3 linked regions of the Nothobranchius furzeri genome follow. The protein of the gene in region 1 purifies or fractionates together with the protein of each later gene. This does not show direct contact. Links are inferred from orthologs where the notes say so. Each region holds a gene or a part of one and is shown in the gene's direction. Other genes may lie near its edges.

Evidence for each region.
Region 2: the proteins of ptpn3 (region 1) and vang-like protein 1 purify together in Homo sapiens (affinity purification with mass spectrometry; 4 studies listed by BioGRID and IntAct, with this or other methods). This does not show direct contact. The link is inferred for Nothobranchius furzeri from reciprocal best matches to the Homo sapiens genes PTPN3 and VANGL1.
Region 3: the proteins of ptpn3 (region 1) and shkbp1 purify together in Homo sapiens (affinity purification with mass spectrometry; 4 studies listed by BioGRID and IntAct, with this or other methods). This does not show direct contact. The link is inferred for Nothobranchius furzeri from reciprocal best matches to the Homo sapiens genes PTPN3 and SHKBP1.

What each region holds. Positions count from the first base shown.
Region 1 is NC_091745.1:79,125,371-79,129,021, reverse strand, and holds part of ptpn3 (tyrosine-protein phosphatase non-receptor type 3), read left to right. Parts: intron 1-1,882; coding exon 1,883-2,039; intron 2,040-2,122; coding exon 2,123-2,298; intron 2,299-2,532; coding exon 2,533-2,623; intron 2,624-2,804; coding exon 2,805-2,866; intron 2,867-2,955; coding exon 2,956-3,102; intron 3,103-3,651.
Region 2 is NC_091754.1:55,593,024-55,596,674, reverse strand, and holds part of vang-like protein 1, read left to right. Parts: exon of another isoform or gene 1-605; intron 606-669; exon of another isoform or gene 670-732; intron 733-835; exon of another isoform or gene 836-920; intron 921-1,013; exon of another isoform or gene 1,014-1,185; intron 1,186-2,454; exon of another isoform or gene 2,455-2,485; intron 2,486-2,570; exon of another isoform or gene 2,571-2,626; intron 2,627-3,066; coding exon 3,067-3,220; intron 3,221-3,285; coding exon 3,286-3,520; intron 3,521-3,597; coding exon 3,598-3,651.
Region 3 is NC_091753.1:56,774,718-56,778,368, reverse strand, and holds part of shkbp1 (SH3KBP1-binding protein 1), read left to right. Parts: intron 1-1,421; coding exon 1,422-1,502; intron 1,503-1,578; coding exon 1,579-1,749; intron 1,750-1,824; coding exon 1,825-1,915; intron 1,916-2,075; coding exon 2,076-2,266; intron 2,267-2,367; coding exon 2,368-2,483; intron 2,484-2,876; coding exon 2,877-2,964; intron 2,965-3,048; coding exon 3,049-3,165; intron 3,166-3,651.

The sequences.
Region 1 (3,651 bases):
CATGCTGCTCTGTTTACAACTCGCTCGCAGCGACCGACGACATAACGCTCTTGCGCATGCGCAGCTGTCTAGGCAAGTTCTCGTTATGAAGGACGGGTACCGAAACGACGCACCGTTTCAAATGACGTGAATCGGTGCTTAGTCGGTACTGTGGAATTCGGTCGGTACCTTAAAAAGTACCGAATTCGGTACCCATCGCTAGTACAAACATAACCAACAGAAGAATTTAATTTGGGATTTCTGTAGATGGAGTTTGGGTCTCTAATTTCCCTCTGGGATTAATAAAGTATTGATTGATTGATTGATTGATTGATAAATCTTACAAGATCGTTGTGTGGCATGATCGGTCTGGCAACCCTGGCCAGGTGTTGTTTCTGCTGTTGGTTACCTGGATCAGGTGTGTTCAGCCAGTTAGAAGCCGCAAGTTCATGCAGGACTGCGGCTCTCTGAGACCGGGGTTGCCTACCCCTGGTCTGGGGAAATACAGAAATGGGGCTGAGAGTGGAGCAGATGTTCTGACCCAATGTAGCTATGAGCTAACAGAGCTAAACATAGCTAACGGGGGTTGGTGGGAGCTTTTAGCCAGAAAACTGCTGTTTAGAGTGACAGTGTGTAGTTTCCCTGGCGATAGGGGGCAGAGCATACCTAAATGATTGTGTTCAAGTAAGACTTTACCTACGAATGGCCATTAGGGTCAAACATCTCTGGGAGCACAACATCCAGCAAAAATAACAAGAACACCAGATTCCCTTTCATCACCGGCAACGAGTGAAGAGGTAAACGTGTAAATCAATGTTTATTAATGGTGAAAGTTCTGTAACCAAATCAGTAAATGCATTTTGTCCACACGGACTTCCGTAGAAGGAAACATGGCATCTAATATGGCGCCGCCCAGAGACTTGGACCCACTCCCATGGTTATATGTTGTGAAACTGCCAAAAATTGTAATCCGCTGGGCATCTTTTAATTTGTTTACAACAACATTAGATGGATATTTCCAGAGATTAATGGTAAAAACTACACATTGTCACTTTAAAGGTGTGGTTCACTGAGAAAACATTTTTTAAATGCTGAGTGTTTCATGCAAGCTGAACATGAAAATAGTCTCCTACACCTATCTCCTGCAGTAGCTTCTGATAGAAAACAGACGGTGAAACTCTAGGATAGAAAATCCTGACAGATCTACGTCACCCTGTCACTAACATTCATGGATTCACCCATCTGGACTCACGACGGGGAAGGCTGTTGTTGGTTTAGTGTCCAGGAAACAGCAGAGAACGTCTCCGCTAGTAGAAGCTAACGGTTAGCATTAGCAATTCCACCACACAGCAGAACTCCTCCAGACTTGTGTTTTTCGTGGCGATAAAACGGCTCATCTGCTATCTGTCAGTGAGATAGACACGCCACTAAATATTCACACTTTCAAGCTTTAGTTACATCAAAGTACATGAAACACAGAAGGATTTGCCCCCGAGTTGCCATGACGATAAACATGAGTGTCAATGGGAAGTTTCACCTTTCTGGAGCCAGCCCCTAGTGGACGAGGGGGGACTACATGTTTGTCACTTCTGCGTTGGCAGAGTTTTCCAATGATTTCAACAGCTGATAAAAATAATCGTTTTGCTAAAATAATTCATGATCAAAAATACAAATCCTGAACTTCAAGCTGTATTTTGTCTAGTTTTAGGTTAGAGGGTCGAACTAGAAACGCGTTAGTACGTTTGGTTTATAACAGGCTTTTAAATGTAAAACATCAGGTTTTTTAGGAATCTGGATTAAAATGAGATTTTTCAGTTTACATGAAAATATCAACTTTTGAGGTCCACATCTGGCAGGGAGCTGGATGTTTTTCTAATATTTCAAATGTCTCTGGTATTTTTAGGCTGGCCGGTCTGAGCCCAGACTCCAGGAGGGAGACCTGGTGGTTCTTATCAACGGTCGAGACATATCCGAGCACACGCACGACCAGGTCGTCATGTTCATACGGGCCAGCAGAGAATCGCACTCCAGACAGCTGGCCCTGCTCATCAGACGCAAAGGTGATCCGGAGGAAAGCTCTGAAATTTGTGGGTTTTTTTATGTTTGAATATGTAATCAGCCTTGAACTGTCCTTCTAATCCAGGTTCAAGCCGGGTGGCGTCCTCGCTGCAGCTGCCTACTGCCCTCACGCTCACCATCCAGTCACAGGAAAACAAGCCGGCGTCTCCTGGTCAGTCGGAACGGGTCGCCACGCAGGAGGAGTCGATGAAACAGCTGGAGAGAGGGATCCAGTCTGGCACTCTGTGCTTCCACTTTGAGGTATTTCAAATCTTAGCAAAAGGGCTAATGAGCGTTTGTCTTTTCGTAATGATGTGGAGAGTCATGATGAGAGCGTTGCTTGTCAGACAGATGTTGGCCCTAATCTTCAGCCGGAAGCTGCTCGTAGAAACAGAAGCTGTGGCTGGCCTGGATTCTTGTTTTGTGTTCAGCTTTTGGATGTTACTGTTTGTTTACTTGCATGTTTGTGTGTGTTTGCATGCTTGTAATTCCTAGAATTTATACAGGAGGAAGCCTGGTTTGTCACTAAGCTGTGCACGGCTGCCTGAGAACGTGGAGAAGAATCGATACAGGGATGTTTTACCTTGTAAGTTTGCTCCCTCACTGCCCGGTGCTTCCACCGCCCTCCACCCCTCTCAGCTTCGTCTCTCCGCCGCCTTTTCCGACCCTGAACTGGATCTGGCCGTGGGTCCTGATGTTTAAGTGGCGGCGGCGCTTTGACGGCTCTGTTCTGACCCTCACCAGCTGCTGTCTCGCTCTTGTTTCAGACGATGCCACCAGGGTGGTGCTGCGGGGTCAGGAGGACTACATCAACGCCAGCCACATCAAGGTGAACTCTGCTCACGTGGAACCGCCTCCTCCTTGCCTGAACCGTTCGTTTAGGCTCATCCTGTTTGTGTTTGTTTGTTTGTCTCTCAGGTGGCGCCGCCGGCGTCCGGTGTGTGTTTACGTTACATTGCATCTCAGGGTCCACTGCCGCAGACCTTCGCTCACTTTTGGCAGACCGTGTGGGAACAGCAGATACACACCATCATCATGCTCACGACGCTGACAGAGAGGGGACGGGTAAAATACACTTTGTTGCTCTGAAGCAAGCAGGCGCTGTTGAAATTACACGACCCTGTCGGTGGTGCATTAACGCGGTGATTACTGCAGCACCACTGGCTAATTATTACATGCTGCGTCGTGTTCAGTTCGATACGTGATTATTACGGTAATGAGGGGGTCCAGCGGTGATGTTTGCACACAACCGCAATCAGACGGCACGGTTGTGAGCAATTACTGGGTTTCTCAGCAAAACGTGAGTGTGGACCAGATCCCAGGGAGATGAATAACTCTCGTCCGCACGGACGCAGGGAGAAATAAAGGTGCTCCCTGAGTGAACATGCGTTCTTCTCAGCTTGCCTGTTGCCTGGTAACCAGATGTTCTCATTAACTGATCATTTCCCTGAAGCTCATCAAGTGTCCAGAGTTTCTTTGTTCTGCACAAACAAACACACAGATTGGCTTTCAGTTCACATCCTGCCGCTGATGAATTGCTGTTGTTCCCCGGACCGCCCCGCGCAGCAGCGCAGGCGCTTGAATACGAGTTTGATTTCCTGAGAGCGGAGCGCA
Region 2 (3,651 bases), on another chromosome or scaffold:
TATTTTCAGTTTTATCGTTATCAGACTTATCATTATCGTCAGTTTTATCGTTATCAGACTTATCATTATCGTCAGTTTTATCGTTATCAGACTTATCGTTATTGTCAGTTTTATTGTTATCAGACTTTTCTTTATCGTCAGTTTTATCGTTATCAGACTTATCGTTATCGTCAGTTTTGTCGTTATTAGACTTATCGTTATCGTCAGTTTTATCGTTATCAGACTTATCGTTATCGTAAGTTTTGTGGATATCAGACTTATCGTTATTGTCAGTTTTATCGTTATCAGACTTATCGTTATCGTCAGTTTTATCGTTATCAGACTTATCTTTACTGTCAGTTTTATTGTTATCAGACTTTTCGTTATCGTCAGTTTTATCGTTATCAGACTTATCTTTACTGTCAGTTTTATTGTTATCAGACTTTTCGTTATCATCAGTTTTATCGTTATCAGACTTATCTTTATTGTCAGATATATCGTTATCAGACTTATCTTTATTGTCAGATATATCGTTGTTAGACTTATCGCTATTGTCTGATTTGAAGTTATCAGACTTGTTAGAGTTAATGTTTTCATCAGAGTTATCAGTATTGTCAGACTTACCCCTACTTCACAGTAGAAGCATCAGCCTTGCAGAACGCAAGTGAACGGTTTACTCGCTAGCTTCACAGCATGCCAAAACACACCGGGGGGAGTCTCAGCTGCAGAACGGCTTTTCCGCCGTGCTTCTCACTGAACTTGCGAGATCACAAGATACCTTGAGTCTTCAAAAGTCACGGTTTGTTTATGCCATCTGCTGTTAAACCAAAAAGAGGGAGATCACGTTTTATATCACTGTTTGATGTCGTATATGATGTTGTTCCTCTCCACTGCCAGGATTAAAGCCATGAAAAACACACCACTGCACTTCTGGAACGATGCTGGGAGTAAATAAACCTTGAGTTCACACATATAGACGTAAACTACATAGCTATGAAATTGCATCCCTGCAGTAGACTTATTGTGAAAATTACCTGACATTTTACTCTGAAACCGTGTGTCATTTCCTGTTCGGCAGTTGACATATCCCAGAAGCGGGTTGTTGCAAAAATAGAATCTGATTCTATCTTTAGCGGCGCGGCGTTCCGCTTCTGGGACGTGCCTGAAAATTGCCGCGTCGAGGCTGGTTTGAAACACCCCCACAGACTATAACGGATTGAAGCAGCGACATTGCACACTTATCAACAGAATACTCTAAAATTTAATGAAATATACAGACAACCTGAACGTCGTTACAATATATCGTGGCATCACGTTGTGCCCAGACACTTGTGCTGATGATCTATACCAGGGGTTGGCAACCTGTTCCCATCAAAGAGCCATTATTACCCGTTTCCCACAGTAAAGAAAACACTGGGAGCCACAGCAGCCACAGCGTTGTTGGCGGGGCCTACCCTCAGACATCTGAGAGCTGCTTTAACTAATCACAACAGGTGACAGCAGCCAGTACCGGTCGCTCGTGTACGTCAAAGTTATCTTTCATAAGACGATAATCAATAAAACGATTTATATAAAATGGATCCAGAAGCTGTAGCCCGTCTCTGCCTGTTGTAATTAAACTTTGTAGGTGGGGAAGGTCAAAAAAGGATCCGATCATTTTGTTTTTCCCTCATTTACAGTGACGGAGACAATGGCGCAGTGCGCCTGGCTCTGGTGTTAATCAAGTTAAATTATATCTCTTTGCGACAATTTTCACAAGAAAACAGAACAGTTAAAAGCAGGGCTTGTGTTGTGTTGACCGGATAGTTCCCGTATTTGACCGTTTATTTTGACGGAGAAAGAATAGAAAGAATTACCCCGACGCATGCAGACGAACTGACATTTTATTCTACGCACATCACAGATGTAGCTAAATCACTCAAGAAAAGATTCCCATCTGAACATCTGAGCTGGACACTGCTCAGCGCAGCTCACTGTCAGCATGTACTACATAAGGTCCACAGCGAGCTGAAGATGTGGAGAGGGGCTTGGAGCGCGTCGCAGAACCAGAGCGCATGCAGGAAGATTCCTCCGACTGAAGTGAGACTTGTCACTTAGAAAATGTTCCCTGATTATGAAACTTTGGCTGAATAGCGCTTGTTCCTGTCTCCAATGTGGCGACGCATCCAGGAGCCTGTCTAAGGAGAATCCCAGAATCTCACAACCTCGTCAGCTCAGGGAGCGCCTATGATTACGCACAAGCGTGACGCGTCAACCCGGTCTCACAGTAAGACCGGGTTGGACCTGTTCAGGTTTACGTAGACAATCTTTACATTTAGAATTGGCTTACAGATGTAAAATTAATGCAGTAAATTATAAAGCATTTTATTTAAAAATCCATTCATTATTTTACAAGCTCAGAGAGCCGCATCAGATGATGGAAGAGCCGCATGCGGCTCTAGAGCCGCGGGTTGCCGACCCCCGATCTATACCGACCTTATCGTTGACTCTGCGATACGAGACGGTCCTGCAGACCTAATCATAAACGGATCTTTTCCTAGTTTTTACACACGGATAAAAGCCTTCAGCGTCTCCGTTGTCCTGACACTCACCACCAGATTCTCTCGTTATGAGCTGAGCGGGTGAGATCTTCCCCCTCTGTGTTCATGAATTATTCTGTTGGAGTTCGATCCCTGCCCCCGCATTAATAATTCACCGCCTCAGCCTGCTTTTAACCCGCATCAACATCAGCAGCCTCTTTCTGAAAATGTAAAAATCTTCAGGTCCTTTCTTAATTGGAGCAAATGTCAACAGTTAGAAGCGTAGGAGGATTATTTTAGATCATTTTAAACAATCTCTGAGCTTTGAACCGTTTCATTTACGGCTCTTTGTTGCCGTTCTGTCAGCTCTCCGGGTTTTCATGTAACAGCTGATTAAAGGAAGTAGAACAACGTTTCTGGTGCATTATTAAGCGACACCCCCACCCCCCGCTGCTCAGACAAACAGCTCTCTCTCCTCACGTTTCACCTCATGTCCTCATCAAAGACTGTATTTTTTTGTCTTCTCTATCATCTTTGTGTCTACCATGCTGTCTCCGTGTCCCTGCAGGTCCAGGGAACAACGCAGCGGCATCCGCCGGGCTCGCCCAGTCCCAGTCCAGAGCCATGATCGCAGCCGCCGCCCGGCGCCGTGACACCAGCCACAACGAGCTGTACTACGAAGAGGTGGAGCACGAGAAGCGGGTCCGCAAACGCAAAGCGCGGTGAGTCCGAGGAGCAGCTCGAGGATTCTGTGAAGAAGCAGGAGTAACTGTGTGTTTCCTCCCAGCCTGGTGGTGGCGGTAGAGGAGGCCTTCACCCACATCAAACGCATGCAGGACGACGAGCAGAAAAAGGCTCCCGGGGACGTGATGGACCCCAGAGAGGCGGCGCAGGCCATCTTCCCCTCCATGGCTCGGGCCCTGCAGAAGTACCTGAGGACCACCAAGCAGCAGCACTGCCACAGCATGGAGAGCATCCAGCAGCACCTGGCCTTCTGCATCACCAACAACATGACGCCCAAGGTCCAAACTGCTTCCATCAGTCTCCTGCTGGCTCTGGAAAGACTCTGTTACTCATTTGTTCTTCTCCCCTCCTCCAGGCCTTCCTGGAGAGCTACCTGACGCCAGGCCCCACCCTGCAGTACAACCAGAAC
Region 3 (3,651 bases), on another chromosome or scaffold:
CATCATTAAAGGAAAAACATTCCCAGTACATGGGCATAAAAGCAGGATAAAAACATAAAATCATAAAATATCAAGCAAACACTATTACAGATAAAGAGAGATATCGGAATAAGACTAATCGATCAAAAATAAATGTTGGACAAAATAAAATCAAGCATCTGGGTTCAAAAGAAGAATAGTTAAAACCATGATGTCAGGGCAATTAAAAGAACCCTAGCGCTAAAACGCAATCAAATAAAAATGAGTCTTTAAACGAGACTTAAAGACTTGAAGGGACGGTGCCTGCCTAATGCTCAGTGGCAATTCGTTCCACAGAGTTGGAGCCAGATCAGGAAAAGCACGACAACCCCTCGATCGATATTTCGACCGGGGGACAACCAGAAGTTCCTGCTCGGCTGAGTGAAGAGACCGAGACGGAGCATACCTCTGCAAAAGTGCAGTAATGTACGAGGGGGCACTGCCCTGGAGGGCCTTATAAACGAGAGTTAAGATTTTAAACTTAGCCCGATATTGCACCGGGAGCCAGTGCAGAGCAGTCAGCACTGGGGTAATGTGCTCTCGACATCTAGTGCCTGTCAGGAACCTAGCCACAGAGTTCTGCACAAACTGGAGCCGTGCAACCGTGAATCCGTAATCCATGCTTTTATCATCTCCCGACTGGATTATGCAAATTCCATTTTAATTGGTTTACCTGCCTCCGCTCTCAACAGGCTTCAGGTGGTACAGAACGCGGCAGCCAGGTTTTTAACAAACACCCCTAGAAGAGACCACATCACACCTGTACTGACGCAGCTCCACTGGCTACCCGTAAACTTCAGAGTCAAGTTTAAAATCCTGACTTTTGTTTTTAAGGCCCTGAGTGGTCTGGCTCCGGATTACCTGTCGGATCTTGTGACTCGTTATGTGCCAAACCGGGCGTTGAGGTCTGCTGATCGCCTGCTGCTTCGCGTTCCAACAATGAAATAGAAAACGCGGAGGCAGCGTGCTTTTGTCTACGCTCTGGAATGCTCTTCCTCTTTCAGTGAGGCTGGCACCATCCCTCCTCCGGTTCAAGTCGCTGCTTAAGGCTCACTTTTTCGACCAGGCATTTTTAAATCCCTGACTTTTATTATTTTACTGTGTCTTTTTATTGACCGTGATTATCTGCCTTGTTGTGTATTTTATTGTTGACGGTGTCTTGTTTTCTAGTGTTTTTACTTTTTATCCTGTACAGCACTTTGGTCTGCTGCCATGCCGTTTTTAAATGTGCTTTATAAATAAAGTTGGTATGCTTTCTTCCCTCTGGCTAGTTTACTGTTAGTCTCCATGGCAACCGTGTTGCCTCCTCCTGCGAGGGCAGCTTTGGTTCTTAGGAGTTCTGGTCTGGATCGGGAGTTTTTATCCGTTTAAAATGATCAGTATTATTTCTTTGCATTATTTAGTTCGCAAGCTGCAGCTGTGTGACGAATTGGACCGGTCCTCCTGTGGAAACGTTCTGTTCAACGGTTACCTGCCTCCACCAGGTAGGACACCTGTCCTCCCAGTTGACCTTCAGCAGAGCTCCAGTTCAGCGTCTGAAGTGACGGTGTGTCGTCTCAGTTTACCCAGTGAAGCGGCGGAACCGCCACAGTGTGGCTGGATCGCAGTTCGTGGCGGGTCGGGCTGTATCAGGGGAGCGTGTACCGGTCCGACGCAGCAACACGATGCCGCCCAACCTAGGGATCTCTGGGATGTTGGGAAGGATCAGCACGGAGGAGAGATCATCAGCAGGTAACGCGATTCTTTTTTCTGGTTAAGGTCTGTGAGCGGTTCTGGCCCACGCTGAGGTCTCTGAGGTGTGCGCAGGTGGGTCGTCGGATTCCGGCCTGGTTCGGATCATCTGTGGGCATCATAACTGGATCGCCGTGGCGTACGCTCAGTTTGTTGTCTGCTACAGGTAAACCTGTCAGATTAAGTCCAGCTTTCAGGATTAAAGGTGGATTATTAGTGATCAGAACCAGCCTCTGATTGGCTGTTTATGGGTTAGTGTTCTCTTAGTGGAAATGCGGATGTTTCCCTGTATCCGCTTCAGTCACGGCCGTTTCCTCCCGTTTCAGAGTGAAGGAGTCGACCGGGTGGCAGCAGGTCTTCACCTCCCCTCGCCTCGACTGCGTGATCGACAGAGTCGCTCTCAACGCCAGAGTGATGGGAGGGTCACTAGGGGACAACGACAAGATGGTGGCTGTTGCCTCGGTGACAGAGATCATCCTGTGGACCATTTGTCCAGACGGGAATGGGAATGAAATCGGTACGATGGGGGGGGGGGGGTAGTAGGACAGAGCCGGGTGATTCAGGGTTCTGATTGGATCTGATAGTTACCTGCGATCTGATGTTCTGTTGGTCCTGCAGGTGTGTTCAGCCTGAATGTGCCGGCTGAGGCACTGTTCTTCGTTGGTAATCAGCTGATCGCCACCAGTCACACAGGGAAGGTCGGGGTTTGGAACGCCGTCACCAAACACTGGCAGGTGGGGAGAGTAACACTTGGGTCACGTGTGTGTGTGTGTGTGTGTGTTACAAAACAAATATAGAAAACAAAGGAAATTGACATCAGAACATTAAACTCTTTAACCTGAAGCATGTTTCTGTTTTAGCTGAATTTTTGCATTTTGTAGTAAATTGTGAAGGTTTCAGATCTTTTACCCAAAAACATTTCATTAAAAAGAACCAGAGGCCTTCATCATCATCAACATCATCACCAGTCGAAGTCCTCTGACTCAGGAAGGTGCCACACTGCAGGTCTTTTATCATTTCTCATCACAGGAAGGGTTCCTCCTAACAAGCTTTAGATCTGAGGTCAAACGAGGCCGCGGAGCGTTGTGGTTTGTCTCTGACCCGGTCTGGTTCTGGTCTTTCTGCAGAACCAGGACGTGGTTCCCATCAGCAGCTACGACACCGCCGGCTCCTTCCTCATCCTGGGCTGCAACAACGGGTCCATCTACTACATCGGTGAGAAGCTCCACCTGAAGACCAGCACCTTGTTTTCTGTAAACTGCTGCAGTTTTGGACGTTTGTGTGTTTTTTGTTGGTCAGATGTTCAGAAGTTTCCTCTGAGGATGAAGGACAACGACCTGCTAGTGACTGAGCTCTACAGAGACCCAACTGAAGACGCCATCACCGCCCTCAGCGTTTACCTGACTCCCAAAACCAGTAAGCGAGTAGAGCACTGGTCAGCTGGTTCTGCTCTGGCTGAAGGAGACACCAGTCAGGACTCGGCTGAGCTTAGAGAGCCAAATCAAAGGACAAGTTTAACGAAGCCTCACTAACAGCTAGGGTTGTCACGGTAACCGGTGTAGCGGTAAACCCCGGTTAAAAAAGTTGACAATAATAATAACCGTCTTGTTTTAAAAAACTATATTATCTCGGTGGATTAGCGTGGCTGCGGTGTAGGCGCGGTGACCCTTACCAGCCACCGTATCATCTGCTGAAGTTGCCGGCGGCACATGCGCACTTTGTTGTTTACAACCAAAACTTTCTTGAAGCTAAAGCTGAAATAATGGCCAAAGGAGGAGACGGCAGCGCTCAGGACATTTATTATCCCTCAAAGAAGACAAAGTGGGAAGTACGGGCGTTTTTTGGATATTTGAAGAATGCCGAGGGACAGCTGATAGAAGACGGCTATCCTGTTTGCAGCAC